3 linked regions of the Oryctolagus cuniculus genome follow. The protein of the gene in region 3 purifies or fractionates together with the protein of the main gene of each other region. This does not show direct contact. Links are inferred from orthologs where the notes say so. Each region holds a gene or a part of one and is shown on either strand. Other genes may lie near its edges.

Region 1 (7,192 bases), on a different chromosome or scaffold from region 3:
GGGAAGCCTGAATCTCCTTTATTTCACTGAAGTACGTTAATACGCAATGAAACATGTTTGGTCAAAAATAATGTCACACCAAAATACTCCACACCGCTGGAGACAGCAGAAAGTAATTCAGTCAAGCTCGCAGTGACAGGTCATGTCTGCTAAAAAGGAAGAAAGAAAAACAGAGCCTCCTGGACAAGGATATAAATTCAGACATTAAGAACTTGGTGATATGCGCAAAGCTGGTTCTGCAACAACCAGTGCGGGCCAGGACTCCCACAACAGCCTCTAATTAGCATCAGGGAAGGAGGGACCCACCTTGCAATGACTTATTATGAGCTCTATCAAAGCCAAAGAAAAACATTCAAAATACAGAAAACAACATTCTTGAAATACACCGAACAACAAAGTAAAATGCTTCCAGATACATTATTTTTTAAATGCTTGCTGCTAATATGAGAAAGATGGTGAAAATTCCTTTGAATTGGTTAGGAGTCCTAACACATCAAATGTGACTGCTCCATTTATGTTATGAAACATCAGTCAATGGGCAGCCTTTCTTTAAAAAAAAGTTTTATTTTACTGCATGTTCAGCCTCAAGACACGTCTCATAAAGTCTAAGGATTAAGCATAGAAGGAGGGAGGGATGGAGATCCAAAGCAACGTAATTACAAAATGAACATCATTTGAAATATCACATGGCTTTAAGACTCACAGATCCATAAAAATGTTAGTGATAAATCTCATCATTTCCAAAGATGGTTCTATGTGTGGGCTTGATCTTTAAAGGTTATTTGGTTTTCATTATTAGAAACATTTTTCATCTTAGTTTGCCCCACTGTGTTAAGCTGTTAGAGCCTGCCACCTAGTGGTGATGTGCTCTGATAAGCAACGTTAACATACAGTGGTAGCTAGACTTTAAGAGCATCAAATAGCCAAATTAGAGAGACAGAGGTTGGGGCTGGCACTGTAGCATAATGGGTAAAGCTGCCACCTGCAGTGCCAGCATCCCATATGGGTGCCTGCTCAAGTCCCAGCTGCTCCACTTCTGATCCAGCTCTCTGCTATGGCCTGGGAAAGCAGTAAAAGATGACCCAAGTCCTTAGGCCCCGTACCCGCAAGGGAGACCAGGAGGAGGCTCCTGGCTTCAGATTGGTGCAGCTCCAGCCATTGCAGCCAATTAGGGAGTGAACCAGCAGATGAAGGACCTCTCTCTCTGCCTCTCCTTCTCTCTCTCTGTAACACTTTCAAGTAAATAAATAAATCTTAAAAAAAAAAAAAAAAAAAAAAGGGACAGAGGTCACTATGATCAGGCTTAGAAACACAGCAAGACTCCATCACCTACCAGCCAACTCACTGACTGGAACTTAATAGGAGAAAATTATTTCAGGCATGACAAGATCTCAGAGTATTTTGTCAATGTACTATATAAGGTAACCAACTAACAACATTCTGGGGACTTTTTCCCTTAAAATAGTTAAAAAGTTTCAAAATAACCATTACCCTAATTTTGGAACTTTTGCTAAATAAAGATACTGAAACTCAGAATCACTATATAGTCGTTAAAAATGATAATTACAGCAAAGCATAAACATTCTCCATGTAACCAAGTGGAAAGGCAGGATGTAATCATGTGTCTACTTTGACTTACACAGAACAGTAAGCCCGAGTATGGCCAAAGAGCAGAAAGAAGTGTGTCAGAATTAAAATCACTGTGAAAACATGGCAAGACCCAGGGTGATTTAACACCTAGCAGAACACCTAACACGAAGCAGACAGTAAGTGTCTGTTGAATGAATAAATGTATGAGATCTTACGGTTTTTTCATATTGTTTTGCCACTTCCTTTCTAGTTAAAAAATGCTGTCAGTCTGAAGGTCTAAAACACTCTTCACTCTCAAGTAGAAATGCTTTAGGATGCAATTCCCCCAAGTAAGCTTCCTGGTACACTTGTATAGCAGGATGATGCATGAAGAAAAGATACAGCTATCAAAAAATACCTAAAATCTTAGAAATTCAGAGCACCTCAGCATATCACAGGATCCAAAGAAGGCTACAAGAACAAAAACCATTTACCTTTTTGTTGTTTTAAGATTTATTTATTTGAAAGGCAGATATACTGAGAAAGAGGAGACAGAAAATCTTCCATCCACTAGTTCACTTCCCAAATGGCCACAAAAGCTGGGGTTGGGCCAGGCGGAAGCCAAGAACCTCCTCTAGTTCTCCCACATGGGTGGCGGGAACCCAAGGACTTGGGCCATCTTCCACTACCTTCCCAGGCACAGTAGCAGGAAGCTGGATCAGAAGAGGAGCAGCTGGGACAAGAATTGGCGCCCATATGGGATGCTCACACCACAGGTAGCGGCTCAACCTTCTATGCCACAGCACTGGCCCTCCCCGCCATTTATCTTAATTAACATGGTCTTCTCCCAAACTGATGTGATCACAAAATCCTTTTAGGTGCAGAACACCTATTAACTTGAGCACACAGGGGCAGAGTTCAGAGGAGGCAAAAAGAAACATATACTACAGCCAATGAAGCCACCTAGGGAGTGAACCAGCAGGTGGAAGATCTCTCTGTTTTTCCCTTTCTCTCCATAACTCCCTCAAAATAAATTAATACATCTTCTTAAATACACACACACAGAGACACACACACACTTCAAAAATTGTGCTGAGATCCAACATAGGTGTCCAACACGTAACTGCTGGAACATTTTCAAATGGAGTTCCACTTGTACTACTGTGAAGTTATTCTGCAGTTATGCTCTGAAAAACAACTGTAGATGGGGGCAGTGCTGTGGCACAGCAGTTAAAAGCCGCCACCTGCAGTGCCAGCATCCCATATGGGGGCAGGTTTGAGTCCTGCTACTCCACTTCTGATCCAGCTCCCTGCTAATGCACCTGGGAAAGCAGAAGATGGTCCAAGTCCTTGGGCACTTGTACCCACATGGGAAACCTGGAAGAAGCTCCTGGCTTCGGGCTTCAAATCGGACCAGCTCTGGCCATTGTGGCCATTTGGGGAGTGAACCAGAGCATGGAAGATCTCTCTCTCTGCCTCTCAAATAAATAAGTAAGTCTTAAAAAAAAAAAAAAAAACACACACACACACACACACACAACTGTAGAGAGCCCCAGATCCTCTCCAACTGGTTCTTATTAGACTCTTAAAGTAATCCAGGTGTTCCCGTAACATACCATCTTTTATCATAGTACAGTTTGCCATCTTCGATCCGAGCTTCAAACCGCTGGGCAGGAGACTCTGCAGGTGTAGTAGGCAAGTGTTCAGGAGAGGATGGGGATGCTGGAGGAACCAGACACACTGGAATGACTAAGTACGTACCAAACACGTGTTGAGCCCGCCACCCAGCATGCTATAATTGAACTGCCATCAGAATGCAGTGGAATCATGACCCTCAAGCTCCTATAATGTTAGTAATGCATGGGAATTCAACACAGTTCTTGTACACTGCATCTAATTTGACCCTCAAGGCAACCTAACGAGGTAGTCAAGTCACAGACTTAACCTTCCGAGCAAAAGAGCAACCTGAGGCTCAGGAAGCTTTAAGGTCCAATGTGTAAGTTATACACAATCAGAGTAAGAATAAATCCCTGGTGATCGGAAGTCCAAAAAAGGCAGGAACAATGAAAATCTCTTTCAAAAAACGACAATTTCCAGAACTACAGTAGGGTCACACACTCAAAGCCCTCTCCCCTTCAAGACGTCCCTGTGGACTACTATGGCACTCAGGACTGTGTCTACACCAAGTTGCTTTTTGCCTGCAATAAACTTAGTGGGGAGAGGGATGTGTAAGTGACCCCACACTTAAGGCCTTACCAAGCAATTATTCCAGTATGCAAACTGGCATGCCCTCAAGTGCTGCCCTGGAAGAAACCACTGTGAACACTGGGTCAGCTTCTCCTATAGCAAGGACGCGGCAGCAGAATCAGGCCGTGGAAACGCCTCTAGCTTCACTTCAGAATGTGAGTCCTACTGGAAAACCCTTCATAATTCATTGTCAAAAAAATGCATATCAAGTTGAATCTTACGCCTGATGCCCACATAGAAAGAACCTCTACCAGTCAAAAGTCTTTTATAATAAATCCTAAAGAAAAGACAAGAATGACATACCAAGGTAAAAAAAAAAAGATAGTCAAAGGAGGGACACACTTAAGATCCCTTTCAGTTTTCATCATGACTGCTTTTGGGCCCACACTAAATATTTTATTTTTGAAACATCAACAATTCACTGACATGTATTTGCATGCTTTTACAACAATACAATAAAAAGATTGCAAACGCCAATAACATAATGCACTTACCTGGTCTCTTGGGTGACTTAAGCTGTAGGAAGAACAACAAAAAAATCTTAGAGAAAATCATTTCAGAAGCAACTGAAGGTGTCAGAGGTATCATGATGTAAAAGCAATACAACAAAGTGAAGCAGGAAACCACGTCAAGCTTTGACTTCCAAAGAAGTTTAAGAAAAAATCAAATTGTACCTTATTTAACGTTCTCAGATCCTCCATGATCTGTTCATCTGTTAACAAATAGTTTAGCTGAGGTGTTGAGAGTTAAAGGAATGTGTCTGAAAAGTACGGTTTGCAAAGAAACAGAAGGCAACAAAATGGCACCAGTATTACAGAGCTTACAAAATGTAGCTTTGTTAAATGATACTTTTATAATACTTTGCTTCCTGCAAAGTTGATTTCCCTACTAAATGTCGTGGTGTCCAGCTATAAAAAACAATTTACATCCCCAACCTTACAAACTATGATGAGAAGGTAAAATGAGACTCAGTAGGTATGTAAAATAGCAAGAACACAGGAAATAGTAAAGAATTTCATCCTGAATTTATAGGCTGCTTTTGTTCCAAAGATCTGAAGACTTTTACTCAAAACACACATACATACATACATACATACACACACACACACACACACACACACACACACTTCTCCCCACATATCATTCCCATTTTTATGATTAAAGAGGCTGCTTTATATCTGAATTAAATCTCATCTGTTTTAAGAACAGTTTTCAATCCACTACTTTAGGGATTTAGGTAACTGAGGCACATAAAGGCAGATATTACTATCCTCATTTTACAGGTGGAAAAATTAAGGCACATTAATTTTTCAGTTGCCCCGGCTGGATTTCCAACACAAAGTACCTTTTCAAATAACTCCTCTCTATAAATCTCTCCCATTAATAGCAGCAATTAGCAATTACGGACTGCGATAATAAAATGGCCCAGCCGCAACCTGTGGATGGATAACTCACAGATGCTTTCCAATCAAATGTTGCTATGCTCTGTAAGACGACAGCCATATATACTCTATCAAATGGACAGGCAAATGATTCTACAATCTTAAGAGAAAAAAGTGACTAAAACTTGATCCAAATGGATATCAGGAGCAGGTTTTCTCCTCTTGTCTGGGATGGGGACAGGGTCATTTGGTCGCCTCCGCAACTTTCTGGTCATGATGGGTTTCACTTCCATAGAATCTGTGGCAAGAACAGAATGGACAAATCTAATTCCCAGTCAGTAAGAATTTCTCTACTATAAGAATTACCTACCCCAGAGTCACTCATGCAGAACCATTTCACTGGGGAATGTTTGGTCTACACATGGCCCAAGCCAGATGCTCATATTAGATTTCAGAGTTCATGTTTATAAGATTCAAGACCAGCTGATCTAGGTGTACAATCCTCTCGAAACGTAGCCCCACAGTCTAACACTGCAATCATCTCTCCAACCTCAAAAGCTAGGGGATATCCCCTCCCTCAAATTACGAAGCTACAGATTCATCGGATCTCGAGAGTGAAAGGAACCTGGGGGTCGTCTCAGGTCACAGATGTCTGCTGTTCCCACAGACGGGAGGGAAGCTCACTGGTACAGAAGGCTCTTTCAGAGGCCACTGGCCTCTGTGCCAACATTTGTATAATAAGTCTCCATTTACAAACTCAGACCCTTTTCTCCTCTTACAGTCTTTTGTGGTTACTTGACCATCAAGAATGACATACTGAAGGCTCATAAGAAAAGCCTGTTCTCATTCTTCCTGACTTCTCTCTGTAGTCTGAACTGCAGCTGACTTCCCTGCCTTACAATCCCTGCCTTCCCAGCCTTGGCTGCACAAATCTCTGCTCTGTCACCTCCTCAGGGTTCTTTCCTGCTGGCCTGGTCCTCAAATAACGATGACCCCAATTCCCAATCATTAATTCTCGCTCCAGCCACCCCTTGGAATGGCAGCCTACACCCAACACCACACTCTCTCTCCATTCCAAAAGATCTCTTTCCTCCCCTCCCACAGCTGCCTCTTCTGCATCTCAGGACCATCTAACCTATTCATCCTTGCAAACCAAAGTGTCCTCTGTGACGGCCTTCACGCAAGCATCAAATTCACTAGACATCAGTTCTTGCAAAACTATGCCCTCATCTATTCACTAACCTACCCCAAGGACCACCTGTGCTCAAGTGACCTTCCTAAGATACAAATTAGAATATCCTGCCTCTCACTCACTCTTCTTACTAAACGTAGCACTGGCTTGCCACTCTACAAATGCCATGCCTTATTTCTGGACTTGCTCATTTCTCCTTCATTGACACTCACCCTATACTCCAGCTGTGAGCTCTCTTACCCACAGGCAACCTACTTCCATCCTTTCAAGCCTCTGCCTGCCCCTCATCCTACCTGGCAAACTCCCACATAACATCCATCCAATATTCCCCTTTGTTATAGTTTCCATGGGCAGAGACCCAGCCCATCTTCCAAGTAACCAGAGCATTGTTCCTATGCCAAGTGCCACACTACAGGACATCAGACATTGAGACTGCACTGCAGCATGGAGACTGCCCCTACCCAGCAAGAGCTGGGGCACGCTGTGTGGGCCTCACAAAACTTTCTGCAGAATGACAAGATGAGGTCACACCTGATCATGAGATAAAGCTCACTGATAATGACGCACACTGTCAGCAGAGCAGACAGGCAGGGTTATGGAATTCTACTACAGCAATGTGCAGGATCTGACTATTTAGGAAACATACAACAACAAATATTTCTGGATCTTGCTCCCAAAAAATGGGCAATAATTGAATTTTTCCCTATGAATCAAGTAAAGGTAAAATAACCATCACAGACATAATGAACACTAACAAATCTGTACCTGCAGCCTGCATAAATGCTCTATGTTGCTCGCTCCC
Region 2 (7,192 bases), on a different chromosome or scaffold from region 3:
AAGCCAGGAGCCTGGAACTCCATCCGGGTCTCCCACATGGGTGGCAGGGGTCCTTTAGCAGGGAGGTGGATTGGAGTGGAGCAGCAGGGACCTGAACCGACATAAGGGATGCTGGCATCATAGGCCACGGTTTAACCCACTGAGCCACAGCAATAATGTATATGTTTTTAAAACTCACTGTTTGTTTACTTGTATCTATTTACTTTGGTTTATCATGCCATGAAATGTCCTTTCCTGAATATGTTTAGTCTGACACATTGACGGAAAGATGCCGTGGGAAACCCAGGAGAGGATACGAAAGTTTCTCTGTTGGGCTGTTTGTCTATTCTCCGGCTTTGGATGATTCCCTTGGCTCTCTGTGTTAGAAGCTGACAGCAGCCCTGGCTCAGGCTGCAGGGCTCAATGGCAGGAACGGTTCCAGCACTGATGGGACAAAGCAAGTATGCCTCTGTCCTCTTAGAGCTTATGTTCTAGTAAAGGAGACAAATGTAAGAATCTAGTATCTTACTCATTTAGGTGACAAGAGCTTTAAGATAAAAAAAAGTAAGCACTGGAATTTTAAAAAAGGTTTTAAGGGGCATGTGTATGGCCTAGTTGTTAAGACACCAGCTAAGATGCCCGCGTTCCATACCGCAGTGCCTATGATGAAATACTGACTCCTCCACTTCAATCCAGCTCCTTGTTAGTGCGCCTGGAAGGCAGCAGAGGAGGACTCAAGTACTTGGGCTCCTGACACTCAGTGGGAGGCCCAGATGGAATTCCTGGCTTCTGGCTTTGGCCTGGCCCATCCCCATCCCTGGTTGTGGCAGGCATTTGGGGAGTGAACCAGTGGATGGAAGAGCTCCTTACCTCTCTCTTCCTCTTCCTTAGAAAGTTTAAAAAAAAAAAAAACAACAACCCCTATGAGCCTGCATGAGGCCATCCAGGGAGGAAATCCTGATAGAAATAGAAGCACTCTGTAGACAGCGACCATTGTGAGGCAGGAGAGGAGGTGGAATTCAGCAAAGGAGCCTGAAGAGAGGGGCCAGAGTGGTGGGCACGCAAGCCAGAGTATGGCATGTCCTGTGAGGAAAGGGCAGCGACATTCCCAGGAGGAGGGAATCACCTGCTGTGCTGATCACCTGCCGTGGGGAGGCGGGACTGAGCAGTGACCCCTTAGTTTAGCCACGCGGAGGTGCAGAGACCTCGAGAAGGGTGGTTTTCCTGTAATGAGAAGGGTAAAGGCCCGACTGGGAGCAAGTCCAGGAGAAAGCAGAAGAACAGAGACACTGTATACAGACAGTGCTGCTGAGGGGTTGCTGGAGCCCCAGCCATCACATCTGAGTTCTGGAGTCACAGAAAGAAGATGAGAAGTAGAAGGTCAAACCTTCCTTTTAAGGAAACTTCCTAGAAGTCCAATAGAACCCTTCCAATTCCATCTTAAATGACCACACCTGCAACACATTCTTTGAGCTGAGTGGCACTGTGCCCGTGTCAGTGAGGGTCCTTGCAACTAAGGAGGACGAGGACCCGGTGCACTAGGAAGTAGCTGACGGCATCTGCGCTGCTGTGCTTGGCACAGCCCCCACCCGCACAGGAGAGTGTGGTCCATGTTAGCTGCCTGAACTGCCTTCTAACGACTGTCAATTCTGCAAAGCGAGTTCTCTGTTGAGTTTGGGTTCTCATGGCTGTGTTTGCTGCATTTTCTCTCACAGCAGTTCCTCCCCTGGCTACCAACACTGTGTCGCCATCGCTCGCATTGCTAGCCAACAACCTGTCCATGCCTGCAAGTGACCTACCACCCGGTGCCTCCCCAAGGAAGAAGCCGCGAAAGCAGCAGCATGTGATCTCCACGGAAGAAGGAGATATGATGGAGACAAACAGCACTGATGACGAGAAGTCCACTGCCAAGAGTCTCCTGGTGAAGGCCGAGAAGCGCAAGTCTCCTCCCAAGGAGTACATCGGTAACGTCGCTGAGGCCCGCTCTTGTCGCCTGCCCTGCCCACGGAAGTCGGGAGTCCGTCCTGGGCTTCTTTATGGCTTCAGTGTTAACCCACGGGTTGCTGATGGGACTGAAGATACACAGTAAACTATTGATACTCCTCTTTTCTCTCCTCTTGAACAGATGAGGAAGGTGTGAGGTATGTCCCAGTGCGTCCGAGGCCTCCCATCACCTTGCTCCGTCACTATCGGAATCCCTGGAAAGCTGCTTATCATCACTTTCAGAGGTACAGTGACGTCCGGGTCAAAGGTTAGTTTCCCTAGAGACATCTGGTGTTAATGCATGCAATGGGGATAGCACTTGACTGTATACTAACCACAATATAAAAAGAGAAATAATCAGAATTTTTCAGTTTCCAAAACACCAAATTTTTGTTGTAACTGTTTTGGAGACTGTGGTTGTTTAAGTGAAGTATCTGGGTTGTCCCAGAAAGTTATGTGTGTTTATTGGAATTCGAGTCTAATGGCTAAGTTGACAGCCTTGGCTTTAGTCGATTCCCTGTGTTAACAGCTCCCTAAGCGCTAGCAGAATGAGCTCTTAGCCCCCAGGGCGCTCCTGGGAGAGCTGTGTATGGTTGCTGTTTGACATAGTTCCTAGGTTGCTAAGATGTCTTAAGCACTTCAGAACAGTCATGGAAAACATGCATTATGAAAGAACTATGCATGGATTTCAGAAGTTTTTGCACCAAAACAAGCTAGTCTTTTAACTCCATTTTCCATGAGCCTTTTGAATACCCTCATAGCTACTATGCTGTATTGTTTAAGGAATGATAACAAGGGGAAAGTGTGGGTATGTTCAGAGCAGCTGCAAATTTTTCCCCCAAATATTTGCAATCTGCAGTTGGTTGAATCCACAGATGTGGAACTCACAGATACAGAGGGGCTGACTGTACTCTGAGATTTGAAAAGATGAGACTAGTGGAAGTCAGAGAGTGTAGCCTTCAGTGGAGACAGGCTTCCGACCTCTAGACATCTGTTCCTGCCTGGAGAGTTCCGCAGTAATAAAACATTCAGGGATTTGCAGCCTTACTAAAACATTCTTACTGCTTATTGGGCCGCCTCCTCCAAAACTCTCGGGAGGGTGGGTGTTGTGGCCACCACTTGGGATTCCCACATTCCAAATTCCAGTGCCTGGGTTCAAGTCCCACCTCTGCTTCTGAATCAGCTTCCTGCTGATGCACACTCTGGGAGGCAGCAGAGATGACTGAAGTGCTCGGGTCCCTGCCACCCACATGGGAGACCCAGATGGAGTTTCTGGCTTCAGTCTGACCCATTTCTGGCTGTAGTAGGCATTTGAGATGTCAACCAGTAGATGAGAGATCATCTCCCCTCACTCTTCATCACTCTGCCTTTCAAATAAAAATAAATAGTAAAAAATACTTGATTGGGAAAGATAACTTGACAAGTGAAAGGTTTATGAGCCTGAAACCTCCTTTGCACCAAACCTCTTAATTATTAAACTTTAGTTGAATGACTTTACCTAAGTTTTGAAATCCTATTCTTAAAATAAATGAAGCTGGAATGTTATAGGAAATAATTGACAGGGGTGAAAAATAGGGAAATGAGCTGAAATACAGGAAGCAAACAGAAAATGGACAGTAACATAGTAAACTGAAACCAGAACATCAACAATTGCTTTAAACGCAGAGAGTTTAAACATACCAATTAAAACAGACTGGCAGGGAGCTGGCTTGGTGTACAGCACATTCAGCTGCCGCCTGAAATGCAGACCCCATGTGAGTGCTGGTTCATGTCCTGTCTGCCCTGGTTCCAGTCCAGCTCCCTGGTAATGCTCCTAGGAAAGCAAGGGAAGATGGCCCCTGCCACCCACGTGGGAGACCCAGATGGACTTCCTGACTCCTGGAGTCAGCCTGTCCTGGCTCTGGCCTTAGTGGCCATTTGGGGAGTGAATCAGCAGATGAAGATTTGTTTCCCCATCTCCCTTCTTTCTCTGTCTCTCTGTGTTTCAAGTAAATAAATCAATAAATCTTTAAAAAACAAAAAGCAGATTGACAGAGTGAATGAAAAAACACAATCCAGTTATGCTATCTACAGTGACATAGGTAGACTGACAATAAAAGAATGGGAAAATGTGTACAAGGATTATTAAAAAAAAAAAAAAAAAAAGAGGTTGCTTTCAGGTAAAGTATACTTCAGAAGAAAAAAGCTGGGGCTGGTGCTGTGGCACAGCTTGTTAAGCTACTGCCTGCAGCGCCAGCATCCCATATGGATGCTGGTTCAAGTCCTGGCTGCTCCACTTCTGATCCAGCTCCCTGCTAATATGTCTGGGGAAGCAGCAGAGGATGGCCCAGGTACTTTGATCCCTGCCACCCATGTGGGAACCTGGCTCCTGGTATTGGCTCAGCTCAGCTCTGGCCATTGTGGCCATTTGGGGAGTGAACCAGCAGATGGAAGATTCTCTCTCACTCGCTTGCTCTCTCTTCCTCCCACTCTCCCCCCTTCTCTCTCTGTGTATCTGCCTTTTAAATAAATAAACCTTTACCCAAAAAAAAAGAAGCTTAATACAAAAAGAGCAGAAGTAAATGTAATTGAAAACAAAAATAATAGCAAAAATGAGAAACTAGTTCTTGGAAAAAAAGAATCAGAGAATACACAAATCCTGACTATCAAGAATACAATGGGGGGCCGGCGCCGCGGCTCACTAGGCTAATCCTCCGCCTAGCGGCGCCGGCACACCGGGTTCTAGTCCCGGTCGGGGCGCCGGATTCTGTCCCGGTTGCCCCACTTCCAGGCCAGCCCTCTGCTGTGGCCAGGGAGTGCAGTGGAGGATGGCCCAGGTGCTTGGGCCCTGCACCCCATGGGAGACCAGGAGAAGCACCTGGCTCCTGGCTCCTGCCATCGGATCAGCGCGGTGCGCCGGCCGCAGCGCGCCAACCGCGGCGGCCATTGGAGGGTGAACCAACGGCAAAGGAAGACCTTTCTCTCTGTCTCTCTCTCTCACTGTCCACTCTGCCTGTCAAAAAATAAAAAAAAAAAAAAAAAAAAAAAAAAAAAAGAATACAATGGGGGCTGGCGCTGCGGCTCAATAGGCTAATCCTCCGCCTTGCGGTGCCAGCACACCAGGTTCTAGTCCTGGTCGGGGTGCTGGATTCTGTCCCGGTTGCTCCTCTTCCAGGCCAGCTCTCTGCTGTGGCCCAGGGGTGCAGTGGAGGATGGCCCAAGCCCTTGGGCCCTGCACCTGCATGGGAGACCAGGAGAAGCACCTGGCTCCCGGCTTCGGATCAGCGCGGTGCGCCAGCCGCAGCGGCCATTGGAGGGTGAACCAATGGTAAAGACAGACCTTTCTCTCTGTCTCTCTCTCTCACTGTCCACTCTGCCTGTCAAAAATTAAAAAAAAAAAAAAAAAAAAAAAGAATACAATGGGATAGCACTGCAGGGCATGCAGAGGGGTTTTCTTCCATGCTGTACAGTATAGACAGGCAAAGGAGGTAACTTCACAGATGTCTGCCAGGTGCCGAGGTCAGCGCCAGCTGTGCTGAGCCACATTGACTAACGCTGTGTGTCCTTCCTAGGATGTGAGGAGCATGGCACCTAGTCTCTGGTGCTCCTCTCAGAAACCCATTGGCAGTTGATCCTGAGAGATTCATTGGACTCAGGACAGTGTACCGAATACTTGACCGTTAGCTTCACAGTTGCCAGGGATGTCAGAAATAAGCAAGGGCTGAGAAGTGGCACAGCCAAGAGGAATCTTACGGAGACAATGAGAAATCAATCTGAATTCCTGGAAAGGTTCCTGGCACAGTAAAAGTCATTAAAAAAATTAAAGTCCAACATTAGCAACTATTACAGAAATGCAAATTAAGGAACAATGAGATCACAAAAAAAACCACATTCAAACAACTGAGTTAGAAAATAGTGACAATTGTGAATGCCAGTGCAGAAGTAGAAAAACTAGATTCCTCTTACATGGCCTTGAGTACTCTGAATTTGTCGTCCGACTGCCTTCCAGCCCCTGTGGTTTCTGCCAAGAAGTCAGCTGTTAATTATACCGGGGTTTGCTTGTAAATTCAGTATTTTTAAAAGAATTTCAGTGCCCTTTTTTCTTTTTTTTTAATTTGAGAGAAAGCTCCCATCTGCTGGTTCACTCCACAGATGCTCATACCAGCTGGGGCTGTGCCAGGAACTCAGTCAGGATCTCCTGGGTGGGTGGCAGGGGCCCAAGTTCCTGAGTCATCAGCTGCTGCCTCCTGGGGTACACATGAGCAGGAAGCCGGGACTGGGAGCTGGACACTCTCATATGGGATGTGGGCATTCCAGGTGGGTCTTACCTGCGAGGCCAAATACCTACCCCTGAAGAATCATTTTTTTCTCTCGCTAGTTTGAAAATGTTCTCCCTGTCTTTGACTTTTGGCATTTTTTACTATGGAGGTGTATTTGTGGTTCTCTTTGCATTTGTCAAACTTGTTGTTCCTTGAGCTTCCTGGATGTGTAGGGTGTCTGTCAAAAATTTGGGGAATTTTCTTCCACTGTTTCTTGGAGGATTCCTTCTCCTCTCTCTCTCTCTGTCTCCCCTCCTGGTGCCCCATCCCATGTTGGTTCTCAGAGAAATGCCCTGCATTTCACTGGGGCGCTGCTCATTATCCTGGTGCCACCTCAGTTCTGCTTTGAGCCCCTCTAGAGAATTTCGTCATTTCTGTTTCTTCGTCAGTATTTTCTGTTGCACCTGCCGTGCATGGTCATAATGCCCTCCCTCACCTCTTCTGCCAGTGCCTCCTCTTAGTGCTCTTAGTGCTGTGAGCGGTTTGTTTGTTTTTTGGTTGTCGGTCAAATCTTTTTTTTTTTTTTGAAGGCTTTTATTTAATGAATACAAATTTCATACATACAGCTTTTAGGGGCTGTGAGCATATTTATCATGGGTCACTCTCATGGGCAGTTTTTGTTGCCTACTTTTCAGAAGTGTGGGTCATACTTTGCTGTTAAGATAACGGGTAGAAGCAGTTCTCAGTACTTGTCTCCCCACTCCTGAACTTGCTGTTACTATTTCCTTATTTGTGCAGTAACCGGCTGGATTAATTTAGTGCCATCTGACTGTCCCCCCCACATTAGTGTTCCTCTGTGAGGTCCTCTGCCCCTTACACTGCTGGCACAGCCTCCCGCACACTCTGAGAGGACAGTGACTTTGGTCGGGCTCTCTCCTGTTCCTGCCCTGCCCATAGCCCACTAATCCAGCTACTAGCTAGGTGCTGGCTGT
Region 3 (7,868 bases):
AAAAAGTTCACGGTAAATTAATGCAAAAAACTTCAGAAATCCAGGCATAGTTTTTCTGTAATATACAAATTCCGTGAACTTTATGCCACCTCATGTGCAAGGACATTTCTCTTTATTTTGGGACTTTCAAGCAATGACCAGAAACTGTTACTGTACTCTTTCAATTACCTCAATACTCTGTGACTTAATGGACTCAAAAAAAGTTGTCACTGACAGAACATACAATTCATATTTAAAAGCTTGCTTGGTGGCCAGCGCCGCGGCTCACTAGGCTAATCCTCCGCCTAGCGGCGCCGGCACACCGGGTTCTAGTCCCGGTCGGGGCGCCGGATTCTGTCCCGGTTGCCCCTCTTCCAGGCCAGCCCTCTGCTGTGGCCAGGGAGTGCAGTGGAGGATGGCCCAGGTGCTTGGGCCCTGCACCCCATGGGAGACCAGGAAAAGCACCTGGCTCCTGGCTCCTGCCATCGGATCAGCGCGGTGCGCCGGCCGCATCGCGCTGGCCGCGGCGGCCATTGGAGGGTGAACCAACGGCAAAGGAAGACCTTTCTCTCTGTCTCTCTCTCTCACTGTCCACTCTGCCTGTCAAAAAAATAAAAATAAAATAAAATAAATAAATAAAAAAAAAAAAGCTTGCTTGGTAAGATCCAATAAATGGTGTAAATCCTTCTACAGCTCATTTGTCATTATAATATTTAAATTAGGAACATGAAAAAAAAATTAGGTCCAACACAATCAACATTAAATATATCTGAATTGCAATTTTTGCTAAAGTAAAATATAAATCACAGGCAGCTTCGTATCTTTTGGCATAGTAAAAACCGTAAGAAATAAGCTAAGTTCTTAGCACTAGTCATTACTAGTAAATTCCCTAAGAGAGTACCTGTTACAACAACAGGAAGTTTTCTTGTATAAAGTTAGAAATTTCTCTTTCCTTTCAACATTACCAGCACATTTTTATAAAAGACAGTAAGAATGGAAATGGTGAACACTTAAACCTAGTAGTTCAAAAACGATACCAAAAATTTGCATTTTTCTAATACCATGAAACTTTTAAGACTAAAGTTTCCAACATACTTTCATTTTTTAGACAGACAAGTTTAAAAAAAAAAAGTGGGTGCAGAACGAAAGGAACAAAGAAAAATCTAAAAGAACTCCAACTTACTATATTTCTTTTGACCAAACATTTACAGAGTACCTAAGATGTGTCAAGCACTACACTGGGCACCGTGACAGATTACAACATTTGTTCCAAACTAAACCCTGAATTTACTCAGCTTCTACACTTTTTAGTATACATTATTCAACCCACTGTTTTCTTAAGAAATTTTCAACCTACATCAAGGAATGTACATGGTTCTCCCAATAAATCCACTTTTCACTATTTTACGCAGGTCACAGGAGTTGCGACCAACAAAAGGGATTCATTTCTAAAACCTCACCGGTTACGTTTTCAAGGAAGTGAGACAGCAACTCAGCAAATACGAACTGTTTCAGGCATTTTATGGTGTCCCAAAGTCAAGAAAGAATCTTTAAAAAGCTGGGCTAAATTACTTCGAATAGTGAATACTTAAATAACCACAGCTTTTACTTTTCTTCCATAAGCACAAACATTACAAATTTTAACTTAGACAAAGTACTGAAAAGGCAGTCTTGATTCTAAAGAGAAGTAAAATCTATTTCTGAAAAAACAATTTGAAGGAACTGTCAAAAGTAGATGACATTTACAAGCTAACGTGCTGTCTGTTGCATTCCTGAGCTTGTTAACACAATCTACCCCTTTAAAGCACCTCTGAATTTGTAACGGATGAAAAAATATCTGCTAGTAACTAACGTCCACCAGTTGAACCTAGACATTTTAGTTATCAGAAGGCTTTTTATTCTAGAGGGTAAAAAAAATAAGACTGCAGTCATTTACACATTCTCGAAAGAGAAAAAAAAAATGCACCTGTACTTCAACTGCTATAATTTCTTCCACCAACTAGACAAATTGCATTTTTCAGACCCTATCCTCCATTCAGTTAACATGTTTACATTTAAGAGGAAGCTGGCCATCAGTTTCTCACACATTACAATGCAACACAGCATCCAACAATTTGCAGGCTAAGAAGGCCTTTATAAAGAGGTGGGGGACATACAAGCTTAAATCTCTGGAAATATCTCTGGAAATACAGGAACAAGTGCCATCTCTGAACTGCGTAAAGATCATCAAAATTCTGTTTCAAGATCTTTGCATGATGATGATTTTTGTGGCTATTAAACAGGTTTTCTGCTAAAATTCACAGTACTATTTCCACACGAAATGAGATTTTCTTTCATCAGTGTAACCGACAGAACCACAATACAGTTCCGTTTCTAGAGTCAGATTACTTGACCTGCTTTTTGTTTTTACCTTTTAAAACACTTAGAGGCGTGCAGTTATTGCTACCGTTCCCTGTAAAAAGCCGTTCTATACGGAAGACTCACCCTCCACGAGATATCCTAGAACTAACTCCACAACTCCACAGCAAAGCCCGTGCACATTCCCACCAGCTGACCCCTATCGTCTCCTGGGAGGGGCTCAGCCCCAAGCCACCAAACACATCCTCCCCTGCAAAACTCGAAGGCCGCACACGACGACCGCGGCTCAAGCCCCTGCTTTCTGAATTCTAAAACCCAGAGGTTCTTTTTCTGCGGGCAGACTTACCTTCATGGTGAATCTGGGACTGCGTTCCGCTCAGAAACACCAGATTCACCTGCACCTGGAGGGGAAACAAAAGACACCCAGTTAACACCACGGGCACCCCTCTGCACCAGCGGCGGAGTAGAGAAGAAAGCGAGCGATGCCCGAAGCCCAGAGAAAGAGCCTTGCAGAGAGGGAATCGGCCCCGGAACCACCATGAGCCGATTCGGGGCTCCCTCTGGCCTCGCCATCCCCGCAAACACGGCCACCTACACAGCTCGGCAGCTTCCCGTCCCCATTGTCGGGACCCGACGGAGTTTCCCGTCTCCGACAATGACGCCATTTCTGTCAGTGAAGAAACTCACAACAAGCCCGGGGTCCGGCGCGGGGCCGGCCGCCCTCCCCCGCGGGCCTCGTCGCCGGGCTGAGCCGGTCCGCGCCCCCACCGGCCTCGCAACCCCGCGTCGGAGCCGGAGCCCGGCCGGGGGCCGCCGAGGGGCAGGACGGGCCCGAGGGCCGAAGGCAAGACCAGCCCACCCCAGAGCCTCTGCCCACGTCCCGTTCAAAGCCGAGACCCGACAAGTGCGAGCGAGATCAACATCTGCCCCCGCCGCGGGGACGGCGAGAGGACCGAGGGCCTGGGAGGCAGCACGGACCCCCACCCCGCCTGGGCCCCCAGCCGCGGCCAAGGGCCGCTAAACCGCTGAGTGTGCGGCCGCCCGGCCAGGGGGCGGCTCGGACTCGGCTGCTGCGGGGGGGCGGGGGCCCCGGGAGGCCGAGGCCCCGAATCGGGGCGCTGGGGAGACCACCACAGCCATCTACCCCCTGCTCCTCGACCGGGCCCAGCGACTCCCAAAAGGACCCCCTTAGAAGACCGCGAAAGCCCCGGAAAATAACCCCTACCTTCCTCGGAGGCGAGATCTGACCCTGGCACGTCCAGAGTCCCCTCTCCTCCACCCCCCCCAAAACCAGCAGGCCCGGGGGAGAGATGGGGAAGAAGGGCGGTGGGTCCAGTGGCTGCTGAAGCTGAGGCTCCGGCTCCTCCTCCTCCCGCGGCGGCGACTGGTACCTTTGTTTGGCGGCCGCTCGGGTTCCCTCGCTGGGGGGAGGGGGGACGACGAAAAATCCCTCCTGGACTGGAGGTCCGGGCCCCCAATCGCGCTGCCCTCCAGAGGACGACGGCGATGGACCCTCTGCGGCTCCCTCGAGGCAAAGGTCCAGGCGGTGGCCGTGGTGGCGGCAAGCTTAAGCCCAAGAGTCTCCCTCAGCTTCGGCGCCCGAGCTCCTCACTCCGGACTCGACTGACGGGCAAACATCGCTTCCCCCCCCACCACCCTAGATTCCCCCCCTTCCCTCCTTTCTCCCCTCCCCTAGTTTTCTTTCCCCTCCCCTACCTCTTTCCCGGATGGCCTCTTAGGCGACCTCGGATTGGTTATTTTTCTTTAAAACCCGCCTATACCCTCTTCCTACTGGTCCCAAGGATACAAACAACGACGCCATTTTCCCACCAGTTCTATGGAAACAGAAAGTTACGCCTCAAAGCTTCCTGGGAAATGTAGTCCAGCCAACCCAGGCCAACGCTCAAACCTTCGCTCAGGAGAACTGCACAACCCGCAAGGCCCCGCGCCGCGCGAGACGGGACAGGGAGGGAAAGGGGGCGGGGCGACAAAGCGGTGGGGAGGCGGCAACGACGCCTGCGCAGTGTGACCAGGATGGCGCATTTTCTTGCATCGAGTAATGCGGTGTCGCTGGCGGCTGAGGAGGGCGGAGAGTTCTGTAGTGAAGCGGGGGGAGGGATTCATGTAGGCATCGGGAGGAGCCTTGGTCTGAACTACAAAGTGGGAAGTTGATGCTGGGTGTGGCTACTCCCGGACCGGCGGCGTGAAAGTCGTGATATCATCGTTGAACCGTGAGCGGCAGTTCTGGCGGCTGGGGGGGACCCGGATGGCAAGGAGGGCGGAGGAGGATGGGGGGTGGACAGAGGGGAAAGAAAGAAAGGAGGGAGAGGACCCGGATGCTGAACCGGATTGTGTACGACTTTCCCATCCCCTAGCGTGAGACGGGGCGGGGGGTGGGTGACCCAGGAGGGCGGAAGAGGGCATCTGGGCTAGCATGGTAGACATTCGAAACTCTCTGCCAAGCCGCTGTTAAAAATCGGCGTCTTAAGTTATTTGAAGCGCCTGCCTCTATGTGTCGGGCAGTTTCCTTCAAACCCAGCATCTCCTGGAGTTCAAGAGGAAAGATTCGGTCTGTGCTCCGCATTTTGTGTGTGTCTTGTTTAGTAACTCTGAAACCAGGCCCTTCCCTTGAGGGGGAGGGAAAAAAGACTCTGTGTGGAATTTTTATTTTCTCAAAGCGAGCCGATGTTCTGATTCGTCCTGTAACACATTGGAAGGCACTTGCGTTCAGCCCTTCACATGTGTCCTAGGAAAATGTGGCGAAGCTAGCATGACCCTTCTTGAAGCTAAGTCTGGTGAGAGATGTGAAACTAAACGGACTCACCAGTGAATGTGAAATTGCAGTAGTGGCAATGCTACAAAGCAGAATTAAGTGGAGAATGTGAAACCGGGAATTTGGCTTAGGAAGATAACGGGAGGCTTTCCCAAGATAGAGCTGCAGGGGTAGGGAGCATTAACTGGAAGAGAAGCACATTCCAGACAAGAGGAGTTGGAAAGGCTTGTATCAGGAGGCAGCCCTTCTGAGTTTTTGTTCTTGTCCTAAGAGCAGTGGTACACCTTTCAAAAGTTCTCAATTGGAAAGGAGAGGGGGTGAGTTTGAACTGTGCAAAGGCACATGAGAAAGAAGTGAATGCAGAGATTCCCGCAAGGAGGCTACTGAGTTAGTGCTTCACCTGGTGGAAAGAGTGTATTGTGTGTGTTTTTTAAAAGATTTGTTTACATATTTATTTATTTATTTATTTATCTATTTGAAAGAATTATAGAGGGGGTAGGTGGAGGAACAGCAGAGACCCTCCATCTGTAGGTTCACTCCCTAGGTGCCCACAATAGCCAGGGCTAGGCCAGGCCAAAGCCAGGAACCCGGAACTCCATCCTGGTCTCCCAGATGGGTGGCAGGAGCTCAAGTACTGAGGCAATCACCTGCTGCCTCCCAGGCACGTTAGCAGGAAGTTGGATTCCAACCAGGCATTCCATCCACTGCAGCTGGGATGAACCCCAGGAACATGCTCTATCCCCAAGGAAGTATGAGAGTGATAAAGAAGCAGACGAGATGGCGATTAGCAAAGAATTTTATTGAAAAAGCAAAGAGAAGAACTTCTGTAGCCTAGAGGGGAACAGAATTCCACTGAAACTAACTAGTGGAGTTTATATACATAAACCTTAAAGACTCTACAGTGTGGCGAAAGCACTTTATCTTAGAATCTGTCAAGGGAGTTGCTTATCTTCCTCAGACTGCCAAAACTGTACAGGCATATGACCACCATAAACTGGCCACTGGTCACTCTGACGCCAGAGCCGCCTTTTCCCCTCTAATTGCCGAAACCCTTTCCTTTCCATGACAAGCTCTACACTCTCTGTCTAGACACCTGATTTTCCTTACTTTCCTCACATAGCATAAGCAGTGGCTTAACTGGCTGTGCCACAATGTTCACTCTCAGTTGTAGTCGTACAAAGATCCATTGATCCACAGTTTGACCAAATTTCTAGCATTTTATCAGTTTTGAAAGTGAGGACTTGTGCCAGCATTGTGGCCTGGTGAGCTGCTGCAGCTCCAGGATCCCATATGGGCACCAGTTCCTGTCCCAGCTCCCTTCTGACCCTGCTCCTTTTTTTTTTTTTTTTTTTAAGATTTATTTTTATTTATTTGAAAGTCGGAGTTACACAGAGAGAGAAGGAAAGGCAGAGGGAGAGAGGTCTTCCATCCACTGGTTCACTCCTCAGTTGGCCACAATGGCCAGGGATGCAGTGATCTGAAGCCAGGAGCCAGGAGCTTCTTCTGGGTCTCCCATGTGGGTGCAGGGACCCACATGGACTTGGGCCATCTTCTACTGCTTTCCCAGGCCATAACAGAGCTGGATCAGAAGTGGAGGAGCTGGAACTCAGACCAGCGCCCATATGGCATGCTGGCACTGTAGGTAGTGGCCCTCACCCACTACACCACAGCCCTGGGGCCCCTCCTGCTCCCTTCTAATGGCCTGGGAAAAGCAGCAAAAATGGCCCAAGTGCTTGGGACTTGGCCACCGATGCGGGAGACCTGAGGAACTTCCTGGCTCCTGGCTTCAGTGTGGCCCAGCCCTGGCAGTTGTAGCCATCTGGGGAGTGAACCAGCAGATATAAGATCGCTCTCTCGTTCTGTGTGTGTGTGTGTGTGTCTGTCTGTGTGTGCGTCTGTCTGTAGCTCTGACTTGGAAATAAGTATTAAAAACAAAAAAGGACTAGATTCAGACTAGTTATTCACCCTGAAGATAAATTAATAGAGTTCAAGTAACCATGTGAATGCCTGAGATTAGTGAATGATAGCTGAAATTTCAAGCTGTAATAAATTGGGAGTCCTTTGAGTTAAAAAAAAAAAAAATTGAGAGTACATGCCACGGTATGTAGAATGTCTTAGGCAGAGAGACAAACAGAAATCTGTTCTTTTCCCCAAATGCCCTCAGCAGTCAGGTTGAGGCAGGCCAAAGCCAGGAGCTAGGAACTCAGTACAAGTTGTCCATATGAGTGGCAGAAACCCAACTATTTGAGCCATCACCTGCTGGTTTCGACCATGCATATTAGCAGAAAGCTGGAATCCAGGGTGGAGCCAGAACTCAGACCCAGGCACTCCAGTGTGGAATGCAGGTGGCACAACTGGCATCATAACCTCTAGCCAAACACCAGCCAAGAACTACTTGGATTCAAGAGAGGAGACATATTGGTTTTCAATACCTAAAAAACTGAACATGTTTAGTTTTTTTACTTATATGTAAACATCCTCTGGGAAAAGACCATTAATTGACTTGGGTTTGTTTTTTTTTTTTTAATTTTTTATTTATTTATTTATTTATTTGACAGGTAGAGTTATAGACAGTAAGAGACAGAGAGAAAGGTCTTCCTTCCATTGGTTCACCCCCCAAATGGCCGCTACAGCCGGCGCTGCACCAATCCGAAGCCAGGAGCCAGGTGCTTCCTCTTGGTCTCCCATGCGGGTGCAGGAGCCCAAGTAACTGGGCCATCCTCCACTGCCCTCCTGGGCCACAGCAGAGAGCTGGACT

What was found. The genes of interacting proteins can lie anywhere in the genome.
Region 1: the proteins of ARID4B (region 3) and SUDS3 purify together in Homo sapiens (affinity purification with western blotting; 3 studies listed by BioGRID, with this or other methods). This does not show direct contact. The link is inferred for Oryctolagus cuniculus from reciprocal best matches to the Homo sapiens genes ARID4B and SUDS3.
Region 2: the proteins of ARID4B (region 3) and SAP130 fractionate together in Homo sapiens (co-fractionation; 4 studies listed by BioGRID, with this or other methods). This does not show direct contact. The link is inferred for Oryctolagus cuniculus from reciprocal best matches to the Homo sapiens genes ARID4B and SAP130.

Annotation. Positions count from the first base shown.
Region 1 is NC_091452.1:14,545,387-14,552,578, reverse strand, and holds part of SUDS3 (sin3 histone deacetylase corepressor complex component SDS3), read right to left. Parts: intron 5,497-7,192; coding exon 5,401-5,496; intron 4,553-5,400; coding exon 4,491-4,552; intron 4,333-4,490; coding exon 4,311-4,332; intron 3,292-4,310; coding exon 3,186-3,291; intron 1-3,185.
Region 2 is NC_091434.1:118,396,027-118,403,218, reverse strand, and holds part of SAP130 (histone deacetylase complex subunit SAP130), read left to right. Parts: intron 1-1,694; coding exon 1,695-1,943; intron 1,944-2,104; coding exon 2,105-2,230; intron 2,231-7,192. UniProt on the Homo sapiens protein: Acts as a transcriptional repressor. May function in the assembly and/or enzymatic activity of the mSin3A corepressor complex or in mediating interactions between the complex and other regulatory complexes.
Region 3 is NC_091444.1:54,583,361-54,591,228, forward strand, and holds the start of ARID4B (AT-rich interactive domain-containing protein 4B), read right to left. Parts: upstream 4,144-7,868; 5' UTR 4,054-4,143; intron 4,026-4,053; exon of another isoform or gene 3,563-4,025; intron 2,996-3,562; exon of another isoform or gene 2,933-2,995; intron 2,739-2,932; 5' UTR 2,690-2,738; coding exon 2,684-2,689; intron 1-2,683. Other genes in the region: GGPS1 (geranylgeranyl pyrophosphate synthase), read left to right, coding at 5,108-5,132. UniProt on the Homo sapiens protein: Acts as a transcriptional repressor. May function in the assembly and/or enzymatic activity of the Sin3A corepressor complex or in mediating interactions between the complex and other regulatory complexes.